5 linked regions of the Callithrix jacchus genome follow. Each later gene encodes a partner of the first gene's protein in a complex. Links are inferred from orthologs where the notes say so. Each region holds a gene or a part of one and is shown on either strand. Other genes may lie near its edges.

What was found.
Region 2: EXOSC7 (region 1) and EXOSC6 share a complex: the UniProt entries of both Homo sapiens proteins name them as parts of the RNA exosome core complex. The link is inferred for Callithrix jacchus from reciprocal best matches to the Homo sapiens genes EXOSC7 and EXOSC6.
Region 3: EXOSC7 (region 1) and EXOSC3 share a complex: the UniProt entries of both Homo sapiens proteins name them as parts of the RNA exosome core complex. The link is inferred for Callithrix jacchus from reciprocal best matches to the Homo sapiens genes EXOSC7 and EXOSC3.
Region 4: EXOSC7 (region 1) and EXOSC5 share a complex: the UniProt entries of both Homo sapiens proteins name them as parts of the RNA exosome core complex. The link is inferred for Callithrix jacchus from reciprocal best matches to the Homo sapiens genes EXOSC7 and EXOSC5.
Region 5: EXOSC7 (region 1) and EXOSC4 share a complex: the UniProt entries of both Homo sapiens proteins name them as parts of the RNA exosome core complex. The link is inferred for Callithrix jacchus from reciprocal best matches to the Homo sapiens genes EXOSC7 and EXOSC4.

The regions. Positions count from the first base shown.
Region 1 is NC_133516.1:27,738,165-27,741,850, forward strand, and holds part of EXOSC7 (exosome complex component RRP42), read left to right. Parts: intron 1-2,380; coding exon 2,381-2,546; intron 2,547-3,686. UniProt on the Homo sapiens protein: Non-catalytic component of the RNA exosome complex which has 3'->5' exoribonuclease activity and participates in a multitude of cellular RNA processing and degradation events.
Region 2 is NC_133521.1:31,651,696-31,655,825, forward strand, and holds EXOSC6 (exosome complex component MTR3), read left to right. Parts: upstream 1-1,212; 5' UTR 1,213-1,257; coding exon 1,258-2,073; 3' UTR 2,074-3,736; downstream 3,737-4,130. Other genes in the region: AARS1 (alanine--tRNA ligase, cytoplasmic), read left to right, coding at 285-470. UniProt on the Homo sapiens protein: Non-catalytic component of the RNA exosome complex which has 3'->5' exoribonuclease activity and participates in a multitude of cellular RNA processing and degradation events.
Region 3 is NC_133502.1:144,772,604-144,776,768, forward strand, and holds the start of EXOSC3 (exosome complex component RRP40), read right to left. Parts: upstream 2,943-4,165; 5' UTR 2,923-2,942; coding exon 2,593-2,922; intron 1,928-2,592; coding exon 1,778-1,927; intron 60-1,777; coding exon 1-59. UniProt on the Homo sapiens protein: Non-catalytic component of the RNA exosome complex which has 3'->5' exoribonuclease activity and participates in a multitude of cellular RNA processing and degradation events.
Region 4 is NC_133523.1:36,667,806-36,672,161, reverse strand, and holds the start of EXOSC5 (exosome complex component RRP46), read left to right. Parts: upstream 1-1,446; 5' UTR 1,447-1,481; coding exon 1,482-1,629; intron 1,630-2,723; exon of another isoform or gene 2,724-2,916; intron 2,917-3,225; coding exon 3,226-3,339; intron 3,340-3,586; exon of another isoform or gene 3,587-3,629; coding exon of another isoform or gene 3,630-3,660; exon of another isoform or gene 3,661-4,356. Other genes in the region: BCKDHA (2-oxoisovalerate dehydrogenase subunit alpha, mitochondrial), read right to left, coding at 872-982. UniProt on the Homo sapiens protein: Non-catalytic component of the RNA exosome complex which has 3'->5' exoribonuclease activity and participates in a multitude of cellular RNA processing and degradation events.
Region 5 is NC_133517.1:53,542,287-53,546,616, reverse strand, and holds the start of EXOSC4 (exosome complex component RRP41), read left to right. Parts: upstream 1-1,525; 5' UTR 1,526-1,640; coding exon 1,641-1,811; intron 1,812-2,820; coding exon 2,821-3,027; intron 3,028-3,119; coding exon 3,120-3,446; coding exon of another isoform or gene 3,447-3,479; exon of another isoform or gene 3,480-3,522; intron 3,523-4,330. UniProt on the Homo sapiens protein: Non-catalytic component of the RNA exosome complex which has 3'->5' exoribonuclease activity and participates in a multitude of cellular RNA processing and degradation events.

The sequences.
Region 1 (3,686 bases):
TAAGGTGGACCTTAAGTCAGGGCTGGAAAGTTTGCTTGCTATAGTCTCTGTCATTCTCTATTAGTTATATGTGGCCCTTTGTTCAGATACATGTAGTAACCTTACTGACCCCGGTAGGCATTTGGGTTTTCATCCTCTGAGGATGGTCTCTGAGGCCCTTTCCAGGTCTACATTTCTGTCTAAATTTGTCAGAAAGAGTCCTTGGGCTGTGAGTGCCCCAGTAGTGAAGTGGAATCCTCATTTCTCTTTGTCTTCGCCCATCGGCAGAATATGGCTTTCTTATGTTACTTAAAGCGTTGTACCCCATCCCCAACCCTGAATAATTCCCCTCCATTTTCCCAGCCTCCTCCCCAGAGTCACTGCACAACTATGGCATCATCCAGGCACAGGAGAGCTCAATGGGCTCATGAGTCTCTAAACCTTCCTCTTTGTCTGACTCCTGGCTCTTCTGGAAGATGGTGTGTGTGTGTGTGTGTGTGTGTGTGTGTGTGTGTGTGTGTGTGTGTGTATGTGTGTGTGTGTGTGAAGGCATTTAAAAATAGGTAAAAATTTCCACATTAGCCCAATGTCAAAAAAAAAAATTAATGGGGTATGATTTTATAGATAGACTAATGTAGACAGTTGGACCTGGGAAGCTCTATAAACCATCCCCCAAGGCTGTAGAAGAGTGAATGCATTAGTCCCAGAAAAATTAGTCACACCCAGCAGGATGTGTCCACTGCATTCAGGGAAAGATAAACGTTTTGAGCATAAGTATCTCTGACTGGATTTGTGTACACAGAAATCTCTGTAGATGTATTTTTAAGCACTTAAAACACAGGACTTAATATTGATTGCTTAGTGTTTAAATTAAAAACAGGTTGTGTTTTGCTGGCTGTGCAGAGTAAAAACTTGGTCCCTGGTGACTTGATTATTTCACCATAAACAAGCTGCTTTTCTTGGCTTGATGCCTGAGTCCAGCAGAGGCAGGGAACAGCGAGGTTGCTATAGCAGTAATGAAGTCTCTCTTGGGTACTTTAAAGGGGATTCTGGCTCACAGTGGTAAGGAAAGAATATATAATTAGAGAGGCAAAATTGTATGTAACAGCATAGTCTGATTATTTTAGAATTCAGTCTTTTACCTGTATTACCAAGTGAGATTTCTTTTAGTGTTATACAAATGGGATGGGCACTGCCATGGGCCTTCACACAGGTTTTGCATTGCCTAGAATCCTCCCGCCTTTCTGGCCTGACCAGCTCTGCTCATCCCAGGTTTGAGGTCTCCTGTAACCCTGAACACTAATTGACACTCTGTGCCCCTCTCCGCTTCCACCTCACTGTTTGCTGTCTATGGTGAAACTCTCCTACCTCATTGGAACTGCTGGCTTTGGGTCTGCATCTGCTTCACTCAGCCTCTGGGTGTCTGGTAGCTGGTTTAGGGCTGGGAACTTTCCATATGGGTGAGGGTCAGAAGGCTTTAATACGTGATTTCATAGAGTCCATGCTGAAACCACTAGCTTCTTACCTTTCTGGTCCTTTATTGTTATAATAAAATGATTACTATAATGTTTACTTATCTCGCATACATATTAAGGATTTGTTTGTATTAAGCCAAAACTCTCAGAAATGTCCTACTAAATACTTTGGTGTTTTTAGGTTGGCTAATGCTGAATCCTGTTAGTTTTGTTAAGGTTATTGGGCATTAAATATCAAGAAGCCAAAAAGGAGAAAAAAGTTTTTTTCTTGAAAAATACCAAATAAAGGAGGTAACCTACTACTTTTGAGCCAATAATTTTTCTTTTTCTTCAGTACAGTGATCTCTAAAGTTTATAACAAAGCTTTGACGTATATGTCTTTTAAGTCAATCCAGAGAGGATTATATATGTCTTTTAAGTCATTCCGAAAAGGTTATTGTGCTTACATTGTGGTTTTTATGTTGAAAAGTATCATAGCTCATTCTAAAGCTGTGAAACTAAAGGTGGTGTGTATGATGAAAGCTCTCTGTAACCCAGACTGCTTCATTCCCTAGGGCTCTCCGCTTCCTGGGCCTGGCAGACAAGCGTATTTATTATATGCTTGAAGATAAGACAGTTAATTATTATTGGCTGAGGTTCACATTACCATCACTCTCCTGTTTCTCTTTGGCTAAAGATGGCTTCTGTTAGAAACTCTTGGGAAATCCCATCACACACGCTGACAAATCCAGGTCCTAGTGCTGGTCTGGTTCATTACATGTTTCTGGAGGCAGGAAAGGTGGCAGATGCCATTCTTGCCTCATCTCAGTGACTTTCTGTCAAGCAGCTGGCTTTTCCAGCATTCTACAGGGAAACTGGAATAAAGCCTTGCCTCTTTGCTTTTTGCGCTTAGACTCACCCAGTTTTTTTGTTTCTGTTTTGTATAGTTCAGCCAATGCTACCCCTGAGTTTGAAGGTCGAGGAGGTGATGACCTTGGCACAGAGATCGCTAACACCCTCTATCGGATATTTAACAATAAGAGCAGTGTTGACCTGAAGACCCTCTGCATTAGTGCTCGGGAGCACTGCTGGGTTCTCTATGTGGATGTGCTGGTGAGTATCACCTTGCTGTCTGGCCATATTCTACCTATGTTGGAGACTAGTTGGCCTACTTTCCTTCTAGTGCTTTTTTCCTCTTCAGGTGAGTGATTTCAACTTATAGGGTGAGATTAGTTGGGAAAATGTGGTCTCCTATAATATTTTTTTAAAAAATTAAATACAACATAGATATAAGCAGCATATATATAATGCCATTCTATAGTAAAATTATAGTAATATCATGGTAGCACCTAAAATTGCCCATAAAAGTTGTCAGGGAAGAATGAAACGAGATGGTCTCTGAATGGTGCCAGACAGAGTTGGGGGGCAGAATTTAGACAGGTCGGTACATTGTGTGTGGAAGGATGATCAGCTCTTTACGTGCATTTTCATTTAAACCTTCTTAACCTGTTGCAAAAGGACAGTATTATATTCCCCATTTATAAGTTAGGAAACTAAGACACAGAGAGGTTAAGTAACTAGCCCAAGAGGTCTCAGCTTTCTGGTAGTGCTGTTGGATATCAAAGTCAGGTCTGTATGATGTGAATACCTTCTTTGACCTCACTGTGCCATTGCTTTTTAAACAGCTTTTTAAACCTGCTTGCCCCTGGTTTGCTGGGTGAGGCCACAGAGGCCCTGCTTCCTCCCACACAGAGCCCACTCCCTTAGGGATCTTTTTAGTCCAGCCCTTCCTTTCCTCCCTTGTACTTTGCCTCCCAAATACTCCTCTACCCATGTTTTGGCACTCAATAGTAACTTCTCTGTGTAGCTCTAATTAATTGTTTTGTTGTTGTTGTTTTTGAGATGGAGTCTTGCTCTGTCGCTCAGGCTGGAGTGCATTGGCGTGATCTCGGCCTACTGCAACCTCTGCTTCCTAGGTTCAAGTGATTTCATGCCTCAGCCTCCCAAGTAGCTGGGATTACAGGTGTGTGTCACCATGCCCAGCTAATTTTCATATTATTAGTAGAGATGGGGTTTTATCATGTTGCCCAGGCTTGTCTGGAGCTTCTGACCTCAAGTGATCTGCCAAGCTTAATTTTGCTTTTATATAATACTATAGCAGTTGGTTGCCTGTTTATGTACAGGCTCTTGTTGGGTCTGTTTTCTTCCTTTTTGTTAAATTTTGTGAGCCTTGAGATTAGCAACTACATCTTA
Region 2 (4,130 bases), on another chromosome or scaffold:
CTTATTCCTGAGGCCTGTGTGTTCACAATCGGCATTTGAAACTAGACACCTGTTGCCCTTTACCCCGGCCTTCTCATTGGTGAAGATGTCTGGTTGATACTTGGCTTTGCCACTCTGTCCTTTCCTGGCTGTGGCTATGACTTCCCCCTTTACCAGCTGTTAAGCGTGTCTCGGCTGCCAGCATCACCACCCTGGGCAGGAGTGGGGGATGGCTCCTGCATTTCTTTTCCTCCATTCCTCATTTATCTTGTGTCCTAACTCCCCCTTCCCTTCTTTTCTTCCAGAATGCAGCCAATAGGGGCCTAAAAGCCAGCGAGTGGGTGCAGCAGGTATCAGGCCTGATGGATGGTAAGGGTGGTGGCAAGGATGTGTCTGCGCAGGCCACAGGCAAGAACGTTGGCTGCCTGCAGGAGGCGCTGCAGCTGGCCACTTCCTTTGCCCAGCTGCACCTCGGGGATGTGAAGAACTGAGGTGGGGAAGGAGGAGTTTGGCACTGGATCCATAGGTCCAGCCAGGAGTTCCTCCTCTGCTCTAAGAACATTAGAATCTTGGGACCTTTAAAGAGCTCCCACCATCTTCCTAACCCCACGGTAACTGGAAGAGGTCCTGTGACCCAGTATTCCTTATATGTCTGCCCTGAGTACCCCAGCATTGCTGTTGTGCATCGATAGGCATCTGGAGCGGACAGCTCTCCAGACCTGAGCTGTCTGGGTTAGCAAATGGGAATCATTTTCGCTGCAGAGAATAAAGGACCATGTGCAATAATTGACGCCGCAGGATCTCTACCCATTCCCAATGGGGGCGCGCCGTTTCCACAGCCTGTGGCCCCTGCTGTCTAGAATAAATGCTGTGACTCCTGCTGGCTGCTGCTGTATTCACTGTCTAGCCCCAGAACTCTGAATTTTGGGAGTAGCCCCTGTGGTTGCCTCAACCGTTTGTGGCGATGGAAGCCAAATAGGTGACATAGAGGGAGGTGTTCATAATTCAACAGAAAATGAGGGGTGGAAGCAGAGAAGCCTCTTTCTTCTAACTGCCGCCCCCCGCCCCCGTTGTATGTATGAACGCCACATGCCCTGCACTAGCGGCACCAAGGCTTTGAGGACGCCGGCCGTTCTCCCTCCAGGCCTTCAGAGGGCGCTATAGCGAAGCCGGCTGCTCCCCGACATCCTTCGCGCAGGCGCGCATCTTTAAGCAGCGGAAGAGCTGGTGTGCGTGGTGGAGCAGCGGCCGGAAGCAGGTCGCACGCCAGGCGCCGTGATGCCTGGGGACCACCGCCGTATACGCGGCCCGGAGGAATCACAGCCGCCGCAGCTGTACGCGGCCGACGAAGAGGATGCGCCCGCCGCTCGCGACCCGACGCGGCTGCGACCCGTGTACGCTCGCGCGGGGTTGCTGAGCCAAGCCAAGGGCTCAGCCTACCTGGAGGCAGGAGGCACCAAGGTGTTGTGCGCGGTGTCGGGCCCGCGCCAGGCCGAGGGCGGCGAGCGCGGGGGCGGCCCGGCCGGAGCGGGTGGCGAGGCCCCGGCCGCGCTGCGTGGTCGACTGCTCTGCGATTTCCGCCGCGCCCCCTTCGCGGGGCGCCGGCGCCGCGCTCCCCAGGGCGGCGGTGAGGAGCGTGAGCTGGCGCTGGCGCTGCAGGAGGCGCTGGAGCCAGCGGTGCGCCTGGGCCGATACCCGCGTGCACAGCTCGAGGTGTCTGCGCTGCTGCTGGAGGACGGGGGCTCAGCCCTGGCCGCCGCGCTCACCGCCGCTGCGCTCGCCCTGGCCGATGCGGGCGTGGAGATGTACGACCTGGTGGTGGGCTGCGGCCTGAGCCTCGCTCCGGGGCCCGCGTCCACCTGGCTACTGGACCCCACGCGGCTCGAGGAGGAGCGCGCCGCCGCCGGTCTCACTGTGGCACTCATGCCCGTCCTGAATCAGGTGGCTGGGCTGCTGGGTAGCGGGGAGGGTGGCCTGACCGAGAGCTGGGCGGAGGCCGTACGCCTTGGCCTCGAGGGCTGCCAGCGCCTCTATCCAGTGTTGCAGCAGTGCCTGGTGCGGGCTGCCCGTCGCAGGGGCGCCGCCCCGCCCTGAACAACGACGGACGCCACGCCGAGACCCGTGCCGTGGGCCTCGAGCCTGCATCGAGATATGCAGCAGGAGCCCCGGAGAGCACCTGGAGAGGCTGAAACAGAGCCGAGGCGCCAGACAGCTGTGGTGGTGGAAGGGCTTTTTACAAACCTCATTAAAGGAACTTTCCTCCTTTAGCCGGCTCTCAGCTGCGACCCAGTTGAGAACACCTGTGAGCGCAGCCTGACTTCCAGGCTGGAAACTTGGAACTTACCTGGAAGCTGGTATCTGGGAACTGTAGTCATTTAAGGGATAGATCCTTTGCACCGCCAGCCAGAGACTCCCTCTGACGTAACTGGGCGACTTTTGAGAGGTTGGACAAGAGGCTGTGCCTTCTCACCGTGTCTGAGCCAAAAGAAAAACACTTCTATATCTGAAAAGCGTCTTCTGTTGTGATTCTTCTTGGTCCAGGATTTTAGAGAGCACGGCTTCTTTGTTCTTACATCCCAGGTGGCAAGGGGCCGTGACCGCGGTGCCTTTAACCGGTCCCGTTCCTTAGACCAACTTGAACGGGACAGATAGGCTGCAAAGAACAGCTGCAGGACTGGATGTGGGCCCTGTGCTTTATAGAAGGAGAAGCTGCCCCCACACGAACCAGAGACAGGACAGCTGCTGAGATATGACAAAAGTAGGAAGAGTTGTATGGCCCCAGCGGCGCGCTGAGTGCACCCCAGCCCCCCACCCTGGTTTGGTACTGGGCAAGACCCAACTCGGCTGGGTAGCTGGAATGGGTTTTGCTCTGGGTGGAAGCCAGATCTGTCCTTGGCCATGTGGAGAACGGCACAACCAGAGGCCTCCACAGCCGGTGGGAAGTGGTGTCCTGGGCCGTCTTCACGTGGTGCCTTGGTCCTAGGAGGAAAACCCTGAGCAACGCCCAGAGAGGGCAGGTGAACTGCCAGGAAAGCCAGGTACGGCTTGGCTGCTCCATAGGGCAGAACCGGCCTGACTCACCACGAGGGTGGGGTCTTTCCTGTGTGGCTCCCAGATCTGCTGGTCTGGTCTCAAGGCTGCTCTGGACGCAGCCAGGTGACTGCCATTGAGAAGGCAGGGCAGCCTGGTCCGGTCTCTGCACTCGGCTTCTCGGGGAAGGGCCGGTGCCGGGCAGCCCAAGGACCAGAATGAGTTTCTGGAGCCACACCAAGAAGCCTTGACCAGGAAAAAGATTTATGAATTTTATTTTTTCCCTTTTGACTTACCTTTCCAGAGCAGGTCTGAAATGGTATCACACCAGTGGAGACAGCTCATGTTATTCTGAAGGATGGCTTTGGAGAGTGGATGACGAGTCTGGAGCCCCAAGAGGGTGGTGTGGGGTGTACGCCGAGGACCTTCCGGCTGTTTCGGGCAGGGAGGGAGACTGGGATCCCAGGGAAATCTGTTGGCTGTTGGTGCATCCAGAGGGGAGTGAAGAGCAGCTGTGGCCGTGTCTGCACTCAGGACTGAGGATTGCCCCTGAGTGCTGGGGTGGGGTGGGGGTGGGCTGTCAGCTGTCCCTTGGAAGACAGCCTCAGCTTCATGAGGATGGCGACCTGGTACAGTCCCAGGCTACCTCCCTCCTAACGCTGTCAGTCCCATGGCTGTCATCGTGAAATGTAACCTCCTAAGAAGCTAAACCTGCTGCAACAGTGAACCTTCCGCTTTTCTGGCCAAGCCCTGTGTTCTCTTCTATTGACCCAGCTCCAGAACGGGTATCTCAGGTTGCATGGGTGCTACCAGGAGGCCTTCACAACCTAGGCAAGGCAAGGACCTACCCCAGAACGCCCGGAGCTGATGAGCCTGGAGGAGATCCTGCTTCCTCTTGGCTGTCCTGGTCCTATGCGTGGTCCTCCACCTGTAGGGAAAGTAGAAGCAGGACGTTAGTGGAGGGGCAGGAGGCATGGGCTAGGAAAGGAGGGGCCCACAGCACCTAGTCTTTCTGCACCCACTTTCCATTTCCCCAGAGCTTTGGCACCTCAGATCTAGGAACTCAGAACCACCAGGCAAAAGAAAGCATTTTTTCTACATGGAGATGTGCCCATTCAAAT
Region 3 (4,165 bases), on another chromosome or scaffold:
ATCTCTGGTTCCATGTCTTTATTAGCAACCACAAATTGGCCATAGATGAGATCTCCAACCTATAATGATATTAAAAACCAGTTCATTACCTCTCAGCAAACTACTCTACAGGTGCTGCTATTGGTTCTTTCCCACAGCCATCAATGCCAGCCACCTACAGTTCTGTGGCTAAGGGACTGACTACACTACAGGATTTCTACAGTCACTTTGGAGTTGAGTCTTGTGAAAAAAAGGAACGCATGTATCATTCCCTTTCACCAACCAGGAAATCACAGAGGAAGAGCCATCTGAAGGCCAGAGAACACCTCTAGGGTTGCACTGTCCAATATGGTAGGTAGCTAATTATCTGAACTCACATTTAATTAAAATTAGATACTTAAAATTAATTTCCTGAGTTGCATTAGCCACATTTCAGGTGCTCAACAGCTAGTGGCTATCATACTAATCAGTAGAGACATAAAACAGCATCACTATGGAAAGATGTATTAGGTGACACCACCCTAGAGAATTACAGATTTACAGAGAGAGGAAGGAACTCACAGCATGCGAATTATTCAAAGCAAAACAAAATAATTCACTGACACTTCTCCCTGCAAGATTACTTAAAAACCTCATAGAGCTAAACTTTAAAGTGATGAAACTGAGGAAATGGAGAGTGAACTCGGTTTACTCAACAAAATGTGTTAAGTACCTACTGTTTGTTGGTGACTATGTAAACTATAGAGGAAGAAAACATTCTCCGATTTTCAGAAGCATTTGGTCTTGGAGGGCAGTTGGGAGGTACATATACTAAATCCAGTAAGTGCTAGAGAAAAGATAGGAGAAAAGTGACAACTGGGGATGGCTTTAGAGAGGTGGTTGTGTTTAGCCTAGGTCTAAAAGATGAGAATGTGTTCCACAGGCTGAGAAGGAATAGTGCAATCCAGAGGGAACAGCATGTGCAAAGAAATAAGGGCAGGAAATTGAGTTTAGTGGTTTTTGGTGTGATTCAAGTAGGGCTGCATGAAGGATATAATTAGGGATAAGGAAAAGACACCTGAAGTGTAATGCCAAGGAATTCTGTAGATTTTGGATAATCTTGTTTTTTCTTTTCCAGAAAGTGACTGTGAGGATGTCTGCTCTCAAAACCCTGGATGGTAAGGTAAAAATGTGGAGGCAAGGATTAATGTGACTGAGTCCAGTCAAGACGGAGCTAAAGCCTGAACTTGCAAAGTGGAGATAAAGGGATGGACATACCAAAGATCAGAGATGGAATCAAATAGGATCAAAATAGGGTTAGGCAACTAAATATGCATGAGAAGTGAATGAGAAGCAGCAAAGAAATCACTAAATGTCGGGCTGGGGTAGACAAGAGTGTGGCTATGCTACCTGAAAAGCCCAATCTGAAAACCCAAGGCAATAATATCACTCCTCTCTCAGCTCCTAGGATCTACAGCCAGGATGGATGGATAGCTGATAATGCCAAAATGCGCACTACTTTTCCCTCCTCTAAGCCTACAGAAGACTTCCTTGTCCAGAGGATGTGGACATAACACATAACAGAGATGACAGATAACTCAGTAGAAATGAAACATGCTAAGAACAATGTAGTCAATGTAAAGTAAGTATGTGGCTCTGGTCCTGGAGCATCTGAAGAAACTCTTGGAGCCTGGGGCAATTGCATGCACAGAAATCTAGGTCATGCTTTGGAGACAATTCAGGTAGCCTTCTGGAGATATGAGTCCTTCAAGGGAATGGATGTTTTTCTTGCTTTGAAACCAAAGGCTCCCATCATTACCTGCACATTTGGTCTGTTTCTTTTAGTTGCACCTTCAAATGACAAGTAAGACAAAGAAGCCGGCTCACTCCCTCCAACATCAACTTTGAATATATCTCCAGATTTAGCTGTCACTATGCCAATCACATGGTCTCCTTTCACTGGAACATACTACAAAAGGAAACAGAATGAGAAAACAGTCATAAATAACAACATACCATTGGAAGATACCTTCAGCAAGTCTTTTGTGGTTACCTTATTGTCATTAAAGAGAAAGAAATTTGATCGTATGCCGCTTTTGGTAAAAGAAAATCACATAAAGTGTCGGGTTTGCAGCTTCTGGTAGTCTGTTAATTGAGCCCAAACCCCGTATTTCTTCAGCACCCCAAAGAGTAAGTCCCTAGCTTTGTAGCATAAATCCAGTGGCAAAGGAATCCTTACAACCAAGGAAGCCCATTCCATAGTTAGACATTTTTTTTTCTGTATGAAAGTTCTTATCTGTCCTAGGAGAAATTAACTCCCCTTGACATCCACTCATTCAGCCTGGTCCTGCCCTCTGAGACTCCAAAGGGAAAGTCTGCTGCTCCCTGACCTTTGGGGTTTTGAAGACTATAATCATGACTAACGGTCTCCAAACGTTTTTCTCTCCTGGTCGCCCTTCTCAGGGTATGTTCCTATTGTTCACGGACCCTCTAAAGGACATGAAAAGTGGGCACAAGACTACGGTGGTACTAGGGGCTCTAGGTGCCTGAACAAGGAGGGCTTCAGTGTCCCATCCTTTCTTCTTTTGGGAGGTCTTCTTAAAGCAGGGCTACCACTCCGGAGTCCCAGCTTACCCGCTTCTGCTGAGAGTCCACCCAGTAAACGCCGCCGCCGCCGCCGCCGCCACCGCCGGGCTCTTTGTGACGGAGGCGGCCGCACTTGGTGACCAGCAGGCGGTCCCCACAGCGCCGCAAGCCCGGGCCGCAAATAACGCGCACCCGCGAGCAAGCTCCAGCATTCAGGCTCAACGGTCGCTCCCCTGCACCGCCAGGGCCTTCCGCGTCCTCCTGTTCCGGCAGGAGCAGCTCCTCACCCGGGAGCACCACCTGACCTAGTACTGAGCGCGCAACGCGCGCCCCGCCGCCCGCGAGAGATTCAGCAACTACTGATACACCTTCAGCCATTGCGGACGCCCGCAAACACCGTTTCCGGTATTCGCCTTCCGCTTCCGCACCCGCCCTTGATGACTTTCCGGTTCCGGCAGTAGTGGTCGGTTGAGTTGACCAGTTTATGAAGCTTCGTTGCCGTCAGCTCACAGGTGCCCGTCCGAGGTGGCTGTAGCCAGCCATCTATCTTACAGGCGTGAGCCACCGCGCCCGGCCGAACTTTTATGTTTTTTAGGATTGAGACAGATCATCTTCAACACACCCTCCAAATTTGGCAAGCCATTTTCCCCGCTAGGTGTAATAGAAGGCCAACAAATAAAAGGGGCTCCCACTTCCAGGTTAGTTTCCCTGGCAAAAATGGGAGCTCCTGTGGCAGAGACAGTATTAATTGTGCTTTTCTCTTCCCCACTCCAGAAGTATTGGGTGACCCTGCCTGCCTCAGTGTTGGCAGGATCAACAGCACGGCTGAAGGGCGCTCAAGGACCTCACATTCGGGCCAGGCAAAGAGGCAGGTGGGGAAATGTTCTCTGAACTGTCCTTCATTCACCCCACGTCGGTAGTGAAGTCTTTGGAAGAAACTCGGATCAGAGCTAGCAGAGGCCGCACATGACGCGCGGCGTAGCGCTCTAGCAGGTCAGCAGATGAAACAGCTGAGGCCGGGATGGAAAGTTTTCTCGCGACCCGAGGGCCGGGGCTGGGCCACTCCTGAGCACCACCCACCCTGACACGCCCACAGCGGGCGGGGCGCGAGGAACCGCAGCCAGCTTACCTGGCCGTGCGCAGCTGCGTCGGTGCTTCGCCGCCTCGGGGTCTTGCGCCCTGCCGAGAGCTAGCAGCCGGTGCTGGGCGGCGGGAATTCGTCCGCTGTTAGGTGGGAGCCCGAAGCCGCGAACGAGTGTTTGAAACCCGGCTTCAAGCCCTCGAGGGCGCGCGGGTTGGTCCTAGGGTCCCATGGGTCACGGTTCACATTTTCGAGCAACTCGTGCTTCCTCTCTGGTTATAAAAGTGGGAAAAGTGCAACGATTGGGGAATAAGGAGGAGGCTTTGCCCTCCGCCGGCGCTTGTGTTTCCCTGCTGATCGCGAGGTGGATTACGCCCGGTTCTCTGTCAGGCTTGCGGGTTTGGAGCCAAAGCAGTCGAGGCTGCTCCCCTTTCCAGTGCCTCTGGCCTATGCCTCCCCATTCGGAGTGTAACCAGGTCCCTTGATATTTAAGTACTCTGTTTTTTTTTTTTTTTTCTGTTTTGTTTTGGGTTTTTTTGA
Region 4 (4,356 bases), on another chromosome or scaffold:
AGAGAGGTGCAGTCTGTTGCCCAAGGCTACTCAAGTGGAAAGTCGCATAGCAAGGACGTGAACCCACCCACTTAACCACTACTCTGTCAACTGCAGTTCAAAGCTCTTCTGCAAGCTACTGCCTCCCCCACCCCAAAGAGGGGTTTCTAATTACGTTATCTGCAGGGTAATCTTGCCCATAGCAGCATACACCTGATGGGACTGTGACTCTTTTGGCAAGAAACAAAGCCTTCTCAAGCGTTTCTAAGAAATGTGGGCAAAGTGTCCTGTCTGCACCTCTCTCTTCTTCTTCCCCCCTCATTAATTCAACAAATACTAATCATTTCCTCTGTAGTGTGTCCAGAACACACGAATTCCCTGTCTTGATATTCGAACAGAAGACACAGGAATGAAACAAATCTTTTACACATTTCATTTTAAAATCAGAATTGTGGCAAAGGAGCAAAGAACTACAGGGCCCTATGCAGCCTGTGACAGGGACCTGCTCTCTTCTTTCTCCTTCTTGAAGAGGGATCTTTGCCCAGAAGAAAGTCTCTCCCTTACAAAGTCAGTTGCATTCTCCAAACCCTGAGAGAAAAAGGTCTTGCGGTCCCTCCAAGGAGCCCTGAATAGGGGAAGACAGCGGATAAGGAACTCCATCCTTCTCAAGTCGTCTTTCTCCCTCAGGGCCCACAAAGAAGTTGCAATCAGGTTCTTTTCCTCTCCTAAGGAAGTGGCAGAGCTTCCCTTCGGTGTCTTCTCCAAGAGGTCTCCCACGTTTTCCCTTCTGGGACAGCCCTTCCTTCATATCTTTCAGGGACCCCACACTCTGAAGATAGCCTTTACATCCCTATTCCCCTTTGGGAAGACGTCCTGGAGACCAGGTACTCACAGATATAGCCAGTCCCCGAGCCCCAGGCCGCCGCAGCAGCAGGAGGAGGGCAGCCTGGCCCAGGATTCGGCTTTGCCTCCAAACCCTCGCCGCAGCGATTGCTACCGCCATCTTAGCTAACAACCATTTAGCGGTCCGGCCCTCTTGTAGGCTGGACTCCGGGCTCCCCCTTTATATGCCTGACGCAAACTCCAGGACCATCTGACACGGAAACCACCTTTTTTCCTTCCTGTGGTAGACAGAATGCACAGAGATTTGGAAAAGAAAATCTATCTGTCCACAGTTTTCTACAATTGCCTCACTGTAGTTATTCCTGCAACAGGCAAAAATAAAGGGCAACCTGACCAAGGCCCCAGGGATTTAGGGGCCCGGTGTTCAGAGTAAAACAGGACCAGGCCAAGGCCCGCCTCCTGTTCTCAACTGCCCAATGGTGTTGCCAGAGTTAGGAGGTGGGTCAGGGCGGAGCCAAATTGTTGGTAAACGCTAAGCCACGTGCGGACGCCGGGGCTGACTGCCCAGCCCAACGCGTGCGCACTGGTTACGCACCCTGTACGCAGCGCGCGCGGTCGGGCGGAAGTGACAATCGCAGCCGCACGTGGAGTCTGGCGTGATGGAGGAGGAGAGGCATACTGAAGCCAAAATTGGCGCTGAAACTGGAAGAGGGTCCAGCCCTCGGGGTCCCGGCTGCAGCCTCCGGCACTTTGCCTGCGAACAGAACCTGCTGTCGAGGCCAGATGGCTCTGCTTCTTTCCTACAAGGTAAGAACTTCACGCTGGTCTTTCTTTCAGAGAGAGACTACAGTGCAACTGAGTGTCCACCTCCCCACGTTACCAGCTGGTAAATGTCACTCCTGCACTGATGCAGGATTTCTTGTCCGGTTGAATACTACTACATACGCAGCGATACACACATCTCTCCCTCACGACTAGAAAGGAGAAGATAGCTCCATCCTGGCAAATATCTCTGAGAAACAGAAGAGGGGCAGACCGTCCCCCCAAGAATGGATATTTCAGAATAGGAAAAATCACCTCACCAGAGTAAATATCCCCCTTAACTAGATTCGTCCTCCGCCTCTCACACACACACTCTAGGTCCATGCATCCCGGACTGACGCAAACCTATCTATTTGCAAATACTCTGGACTGTGACGGATCTTTCACCCACATAAATACTCGCCACTGCCACCTCACTGCATCTCTCCACAGGAGTAAATATCCCTAAGGTTAGAGCAAGTCTTACCTATAGGGTAAATATGCCCTTCCCCTAGCTAAATAACACTCAATACTAGATTAACTCCAAGAACATTTTTCTTTAAAATTTGACATGGGAGGCCGGGCGCAGTGGCTTCACGCCTGTAATCTCAGCACTTTGGGAGGCCGAGGCGGGTGGATCACCTGAGGTAGGGAGTTCAAGACCAGTCTGGCCTACATACAAAACCCCATCTTTACTAAAAATACAAAAATTAGCTGGGTGTGGTGGTGGGTGCCTGTGATCCCAGCTACTCAGGAGGCTGAGAGCAGCTGCAGTAAGGGGGAGGATGGTTAGCTTTCAGGAAGGACTTCCTGTTAAAAGTTACTAATATCAGGGCCAGGTATGGTGGCTCACACCTGTAATCCCAGCACTTTGGGATTACAAGTGCCCAGTAGTTCAAGACCCTCCTGAGCAACATGGCAAAATCCCCTCTCTACTAAAAATACTAAAATTAGGCCGGCACAGTGGCTCACACCTGTAATCCCAGCATTTTGGGAGGCCAAGGTGGGCAAATCACCTGAGGTCAGGAGTTCAAGACCAGCCCTGGCCAACATGGTGAAACCCCATCTCTATTAAAAATTTTTTTAAAAAGCCGGGAATGAAGACTGTACTTTCAGGGATCATTTCTATAGTGTGTTACTAAAAAGCCGGGAATGGTAGCATGTGCCTGTAGTTCCAGCTACTCTGGAGGCTGAGGGGGTAGGATTGCTTGAGCCCAAAAGGTTGAGGCTGCAATCAACCATGATGGCACCACTGCACTCCAGCCTGGGCCAGGAGAGTGAGACCCTGCCTGAATGCCTTAATGGATGACTATTACTAATATCAGCTAAAGTCAGTTGCACACTCAGCATGAGCCCCACAATGTCTGAAGTGTTCTCTGTGAATTGAGTCCTTTGACCCTTACCGGACGCTAGAGGGGAGGGACTGCTGTTGTCCCCATTTTACAAATGAGGATTCGCAGGCAGAAAAGTGAAGTGAGTGCTCCAAGAATCACTGCCAACAAATGGCGGGGGTGGCGTGGGGAGCCCTGGCCATCAGGCTCAATGCCACTAATGGGGCCCCAGAAGCCGCTGTGAGTGAGGCCTCCCCTGCTGTCTCCCCAGGTGACACCTCTGTCCTGGCGGGTGTGTACGGGCCGGCCGAGGTGAAGGTCAGCAAAGAGATCTTCAACAAGGCCACACTCGAAGTGATCCTGAGGCCGAAGATCGGGCTGCCTGGTAATGGGCACTGCTGAACCTCCGAAGAGTGCCCAGTTTGTCAGAACCGCTCCCTGGCTCCTCCCTGCCAGCTGCCCCCAGTCTCCACTCCACTGTTTCTTTAACTCTCTGTCCCTGTGTCTCATCTTCTGTTGCTTCTCTGTCTGCCTCTAATTTCTCCCTCCGTCTCTCTTTCTCCCTATCTCTGCCTTTATCTCCCTTTCATTCCATTAACCCGTTTTTCTTTTTCTTTTTCTTTTTTTTTCAGATGGTGTCCTGCTCTGTTGCCCAGGCTGGAGTGCAGTGGCGCGATGTCGGCTCACTGCAACCTCCGCCTCCCAGGTTCAAGCGATTCCCTTACCTCGGCCTCCTGAGTAGCTGGGATTACAGGCAACTGCCACCACCCCCAGCTAATTTTTTTGTATTTTTAGTAGAGGCAGAGTTTCACCATGTTGGCTAGGCTGGTGTCAAACTCCTGACCTCAGGTGATCTGCTCGCCTCGGCCTCCCAAAGTACTGGGATTACAGGTGTGAGCCACTGCGCCTGGCCCTTTTTAATTTATTTTTTATTTTTTTGAGATGGAGTCTTGCTCTGTTGCCCAGGCTGGAGTGTAGTGGTGCGATCTTGGCTCACTGCAACCTCCACCTCCTGGGTTCAAACTGTTCTGTCTTAGCCATCCAAGTAGCTGGGATTACAGGCATAAGCCACCACACCCAGCTAATTTTTCTATTTTTAGTAGAGACAGCGTTTCACCATGTTGGCCAGGCTAGTCTTGAACTCCTGATCAGGTGATCCACCCGCCTCAGCCTACCAAAGTGCTGGGATTACAGGCATGAGCCACAGAGCCCACCTTTTTTTTTTTTTTTTTTGAGATGGAGTCACTCTTGTCACCCAGGCTGGAGTGTAATAGTGTGATCTCAACCCACTGCAACCTCCACCTCCCAGGTTCAAGCCATTCTCCTATCTTAGCCTCTCGAGTAGCTGGGATTACAGGCACACACCACCATGCCCAGCTAATTTTTGTAATTTTAGTAGAGA
Region 5 (4,330 bases), on another chromosome or scaffold:
AGAGAGTTAAGCCCCTGATGTCTGTGGGCCTCCTGGCAACTGTCAGGCGTTACCACAAGAGCTTGGAGAAGTGGAGTTTTCTCCTAACTTCCCCAGGAAGGAGACATCTCAGCCATCTTGGACATCTCCTTCCCTAGCTGGCTAAACAGTGGGCGCTTTCACAGCACTGGAGCTGCCGCACGGCCGAGGTGCCCTCCAGCAGCCCTTCCTAGGCGTGACAGAGGGCTTAGAGCATCTTGCCTTAGTGTCATTCATTTCACAATGTCACCCCAGGTTCACACTTCCGACCTGATAGGCATTAGTAAAAGAATTAAGATCACCTATAAATAACTAAGATCACCTATGAATAACTAATAACTACTATGGTTATATTTCTAGTTACTTTCTTCTTCATTATTTATATGGAAATAGGCTGAGGTATTTCGCTCCTGCCTTGGCGGTCATAGATCCCCATCCCTTAAGCCTGGGCAGACTTGTCTGACTGACTTGACCCCAGAGTCTGGCAAGAGTGGCACTATATGACTTCTGAGCTAGGTCATAAAAATACCACACACGTCGCCCACCTTGTTGTCTTGGAAGGCTACCCTTGGAACCCAACTGCCATACTGCAAGGAAGCCTCGGTTGCATGTAGAAGCCACATGTAGGTGTGCTGCCTAACAGCCACACGTGAGGTCCTGGCCCGCCACCAGCATCAGTCACCGAAGATATGAGGGAGAAAACTTTGAGGATGGCTCCAGCCCCAGCCACCATCTAGCAGGAACTGCAGGAGAGATCCTAAATGCAAACTACCTAGCTGAGCCTAGGTAACACCAGACTGCAGAACATCATAAAATAATCATGTTATTCGAAGCCACTGAGGTTAGGTGGCAAGAGATAAACAGACATACAACGCCTCTTTGGAAAGGATGAGGAATCAGCATCCTCAAAGGGAAACGGGAGGCCCACTTGACTGCAGTGTGGGAGCTCGGTGTAACGGAGGGCAAGGGAGGAATGGAGGTGCCAGGTGTGGACCATGCTGGGACACCAGCCCGGTCACCTTCCTAGGACCCCTCAATGCCTTCTCTTCTCCTGTCAGTCAATGCTGCAACCACTAAGTTCATCCTTCCACTTTCACACTTACAGTGCGGGGAAGGCTGAATAATGCAGGCACCATTGGTCCCGAGGGCGTGGCTTCGGAATTCCTCCTTCAGCGGGCGCCCACTTCTTGGCACCCGTGGCACAGCTCCGGGAACGGCCGCGGGCCTAGCCCCCGCTTCCCCGACAGAGCCGCTGCAGCTCCCCGGAGACAGAAGCAGAGCCGGACCGCCGAAAACCGTAGATCCTGGGAGGTCGGGGCCGCGGGTAGCTGTAGTTTCCCGGGACCGGAAGTGGCAACGGACCGCCGGAAATCTTAGATCCGGGGACCTCGGGGCGGCGGTTAGCTGTAGTTTCCCGGGACCAGAAGTGGCAACGGACCGCCGAAAACCATAGATCCGGGGAAGTCGGGGCCGCGGGGAGTTGCAGTTCCGCGGACCCGGAAGTGACAGAGGACCACCGGAAACCGTAGATCCGGGGAAGTCGTAGCCGCCTGGAGCTCTAGTTCTCCAGTTCTCCAGCGGCTCAGAGAACTAAGCCGAGAGGGAGTTGGCGGCCGGGCGGAATGGCGGGGCTGGAGCTCTTATCGGACCAGGGCTACCGGGTGGACGGGCGGCGCGCCGGGGAGCTGCGCAAAATCCAGGCGCGGATGGGCGTGTTCGCGCAGGCTGACGGCTCGGCCTACATCGAGCAGGGCAACACCAAGGCGCTGGCGGTGGTCTACGGCCCGCACGAGGCGAGTGGGAGGGGAAATCGTGCGGTCGCGGAGCCGCAGGGCAGCCGGGCTGAGCACAGGCTCAGGGACTTGAGGGGCAACGGCCGGCGCGCCTCCGACCACACAGCCGATGCTCAGCACCGCATGTCACTCGGAGTAAACGCAAGTCCTTAGTGCACTGAGCGGTGGTCCTGCCTTTCTCATCGGCTTGTCCCTGCGCCCTCCCTTCTCTTTGCGGCTCTTCAGCTCCCCCACTCGCCCCGTCACCTCTCAGCTCTACTCCGACGTCACTCCTCCCCAGACAACCTTATCCACGCGGTACTTCCCCTCCCTACAATAAACCCTTCCTTGTCTTTTGTGCACCTACGATCTCAAACGCCTGTTTTGCTTAAGCACGTTCACCTTTGTTTCCTTGCTGGAACATAAGCTTCCTAAAGACAGGAACTTTACATGAAACTCTATGGTTTCACTGCGGTTCCCAGCGCTGTAACAGTGCCTGGCCAGCAAAGGTATTGAAAATGTGCTTAGCGCATGGCTGTGGGAGCTCTGCTTTCTAGGCGCAGGGAAGCACGAGGGCGAAGACCACGGGGGTGAAAACAAGCATAGCACTTAGGCAGAGCAGAAAGACTGCTGGTGGGGAAAGGGGGTAACTCCAAATTAAAGTAGAGTGTTTCCGGGGAGGTGAGGACTTGGGATTTTGTAGACCAGGGAAAGGATTTGGGATTTTATTTCACATGTAATGTAACGCCTTCGTAAGTTAATTAGGATTTGAGTGTGTACGTGAGATAGAATCAGCCTTGATGTTTGTAAACTTGGGCTGGAAGGGAATGGGACAAGGATGGACACAAAGCAGCCAACTAAAAGATGCATGCCAGGAGGAAAAACGAGCAAAACAGGGGGCTTTGTTTTGGAGGTAAAGTAGTTGCCTCTTGCTGAGGCCTTGAAAGTGAAAGGAGAGGCAGACCCCCAGAGTACAGTGGAGTGTGAGCTGGAAGAAGTGGGCCTGGCTCATGTGTCCATCTTCTTCCAGATCCGGGGCTCGCGGGCTCGAGCCCTGCCAGACAGGGCCCTAGTGAACTGTCAATATAGTTCAGCGACCTTCAGCACCGGTGAGCGCAAGCGACGGCCACATGGGGACCGTAAGTCCTGTGAGATGGGCCTACAACTCCGCCAGACTTTCGAAGCAGCCATCCTCACACAGCTGCACCCACGCTCCCAGATTGATATCTATGTGCAGGTGAGCCGGCTGCAGCCTGCAATCCAGGGAGGGAAGAGTGTGATGGGATTGAGGAGGGAGTCTGATGAACTGACACCCTGGGGTCCTCGCAGGTGCTACAGGCAGATGGTGGGACTTACGCAGCGTGTGTGAATGCAGCCACGCTGGCAGTGCTGGATGCTGGCATACCCATGAGAGACTTTGTGTGTGCGTGCTCAGCTGGCTTCGTGGACGGCACAGCCCTGGCAGACCTCAGCCATGTGGAGGAAGCAGCTGGTGGCCCCCAGCTGGCCCTGGCCCTGCTGCCAGCTTCAGGCCAGATTGCGCTGCTTGAGATGGATGCCCGGCTGCATGAGGACCACCTGGAGCAGGTGTTGGAGGCTGCTGCCCAGGCTGCTCAAGATGTGCACATCCTCTTGGACCGAGTTGTCCGGCAGCATGTGCGTGAGGCCTCTATCTTGCTGGGGGATTGACCACCCTGCCACCCATGTCCAGAATAAAACCCTCCTCCGCCCACACACTCCTCACTGTACTTTGATCACCCAACAGCACTTTGGAGCTATGTGAAGCCCTGCAGAGCCTGGCCTGGTACTGGCTACTGGGAATGACCAGGGACCCTCTTATATAGAGAACTGTCTATCTCTGTATATCCTGATTGAAACCCTGAAGAGAACAGTGGATTAGGGGGTTGAGGAGAGATAGTTCCTGGGTGGAAAAAGCAGCATGTCCCAGTAAGGACTCAAGGCAGCTGAGTAAGAGGCAGGGCCTGGCAAGATGAGCCAGGCCATTAGACTGAGGAATCTATTCTTACTCCAGCACATCGGGAGCCCTGAGCAAAGGGCTGAGGAAAAACTCAGCTGGCTCTGGGTACCCACCCTAGAGATGTGGGTAGCCATGTCCCACAGCCTGTGGACTATGGCTTGGAACCCCTTGGGCTTTTCCTGCTGCTTACCCTGGACTCTAAAAGTACAAAAGCCAGGCATAGTGGCTTACACCTGTAATCCCAGAATTTTGGGAAGCTGAGGCAGATGGATTGCTTCAGGTCAGGAATTTGAGACTAGCCTGGCCAACATGGCAAAATCCCATCTCTACTGCAAATACAAAAATTAGCTGAGGTGGTAACACACACCTGTATAATCCCAGCTACTTGGGAGGCAGAGGCAGGAAAATCTCTTGAACCTGGGAAGTGGAGGTTGCAGTGAGCCGAGATCGTGCCACTGCACTCCAGCCTGGGCAATAGGGCAAGACTCCATCTAAAAAAATAAAAGTACAAAAAACGTGTTCTCATGGATCAGTAGAGGTCAGGAGTTCGAGACCAGCCTAG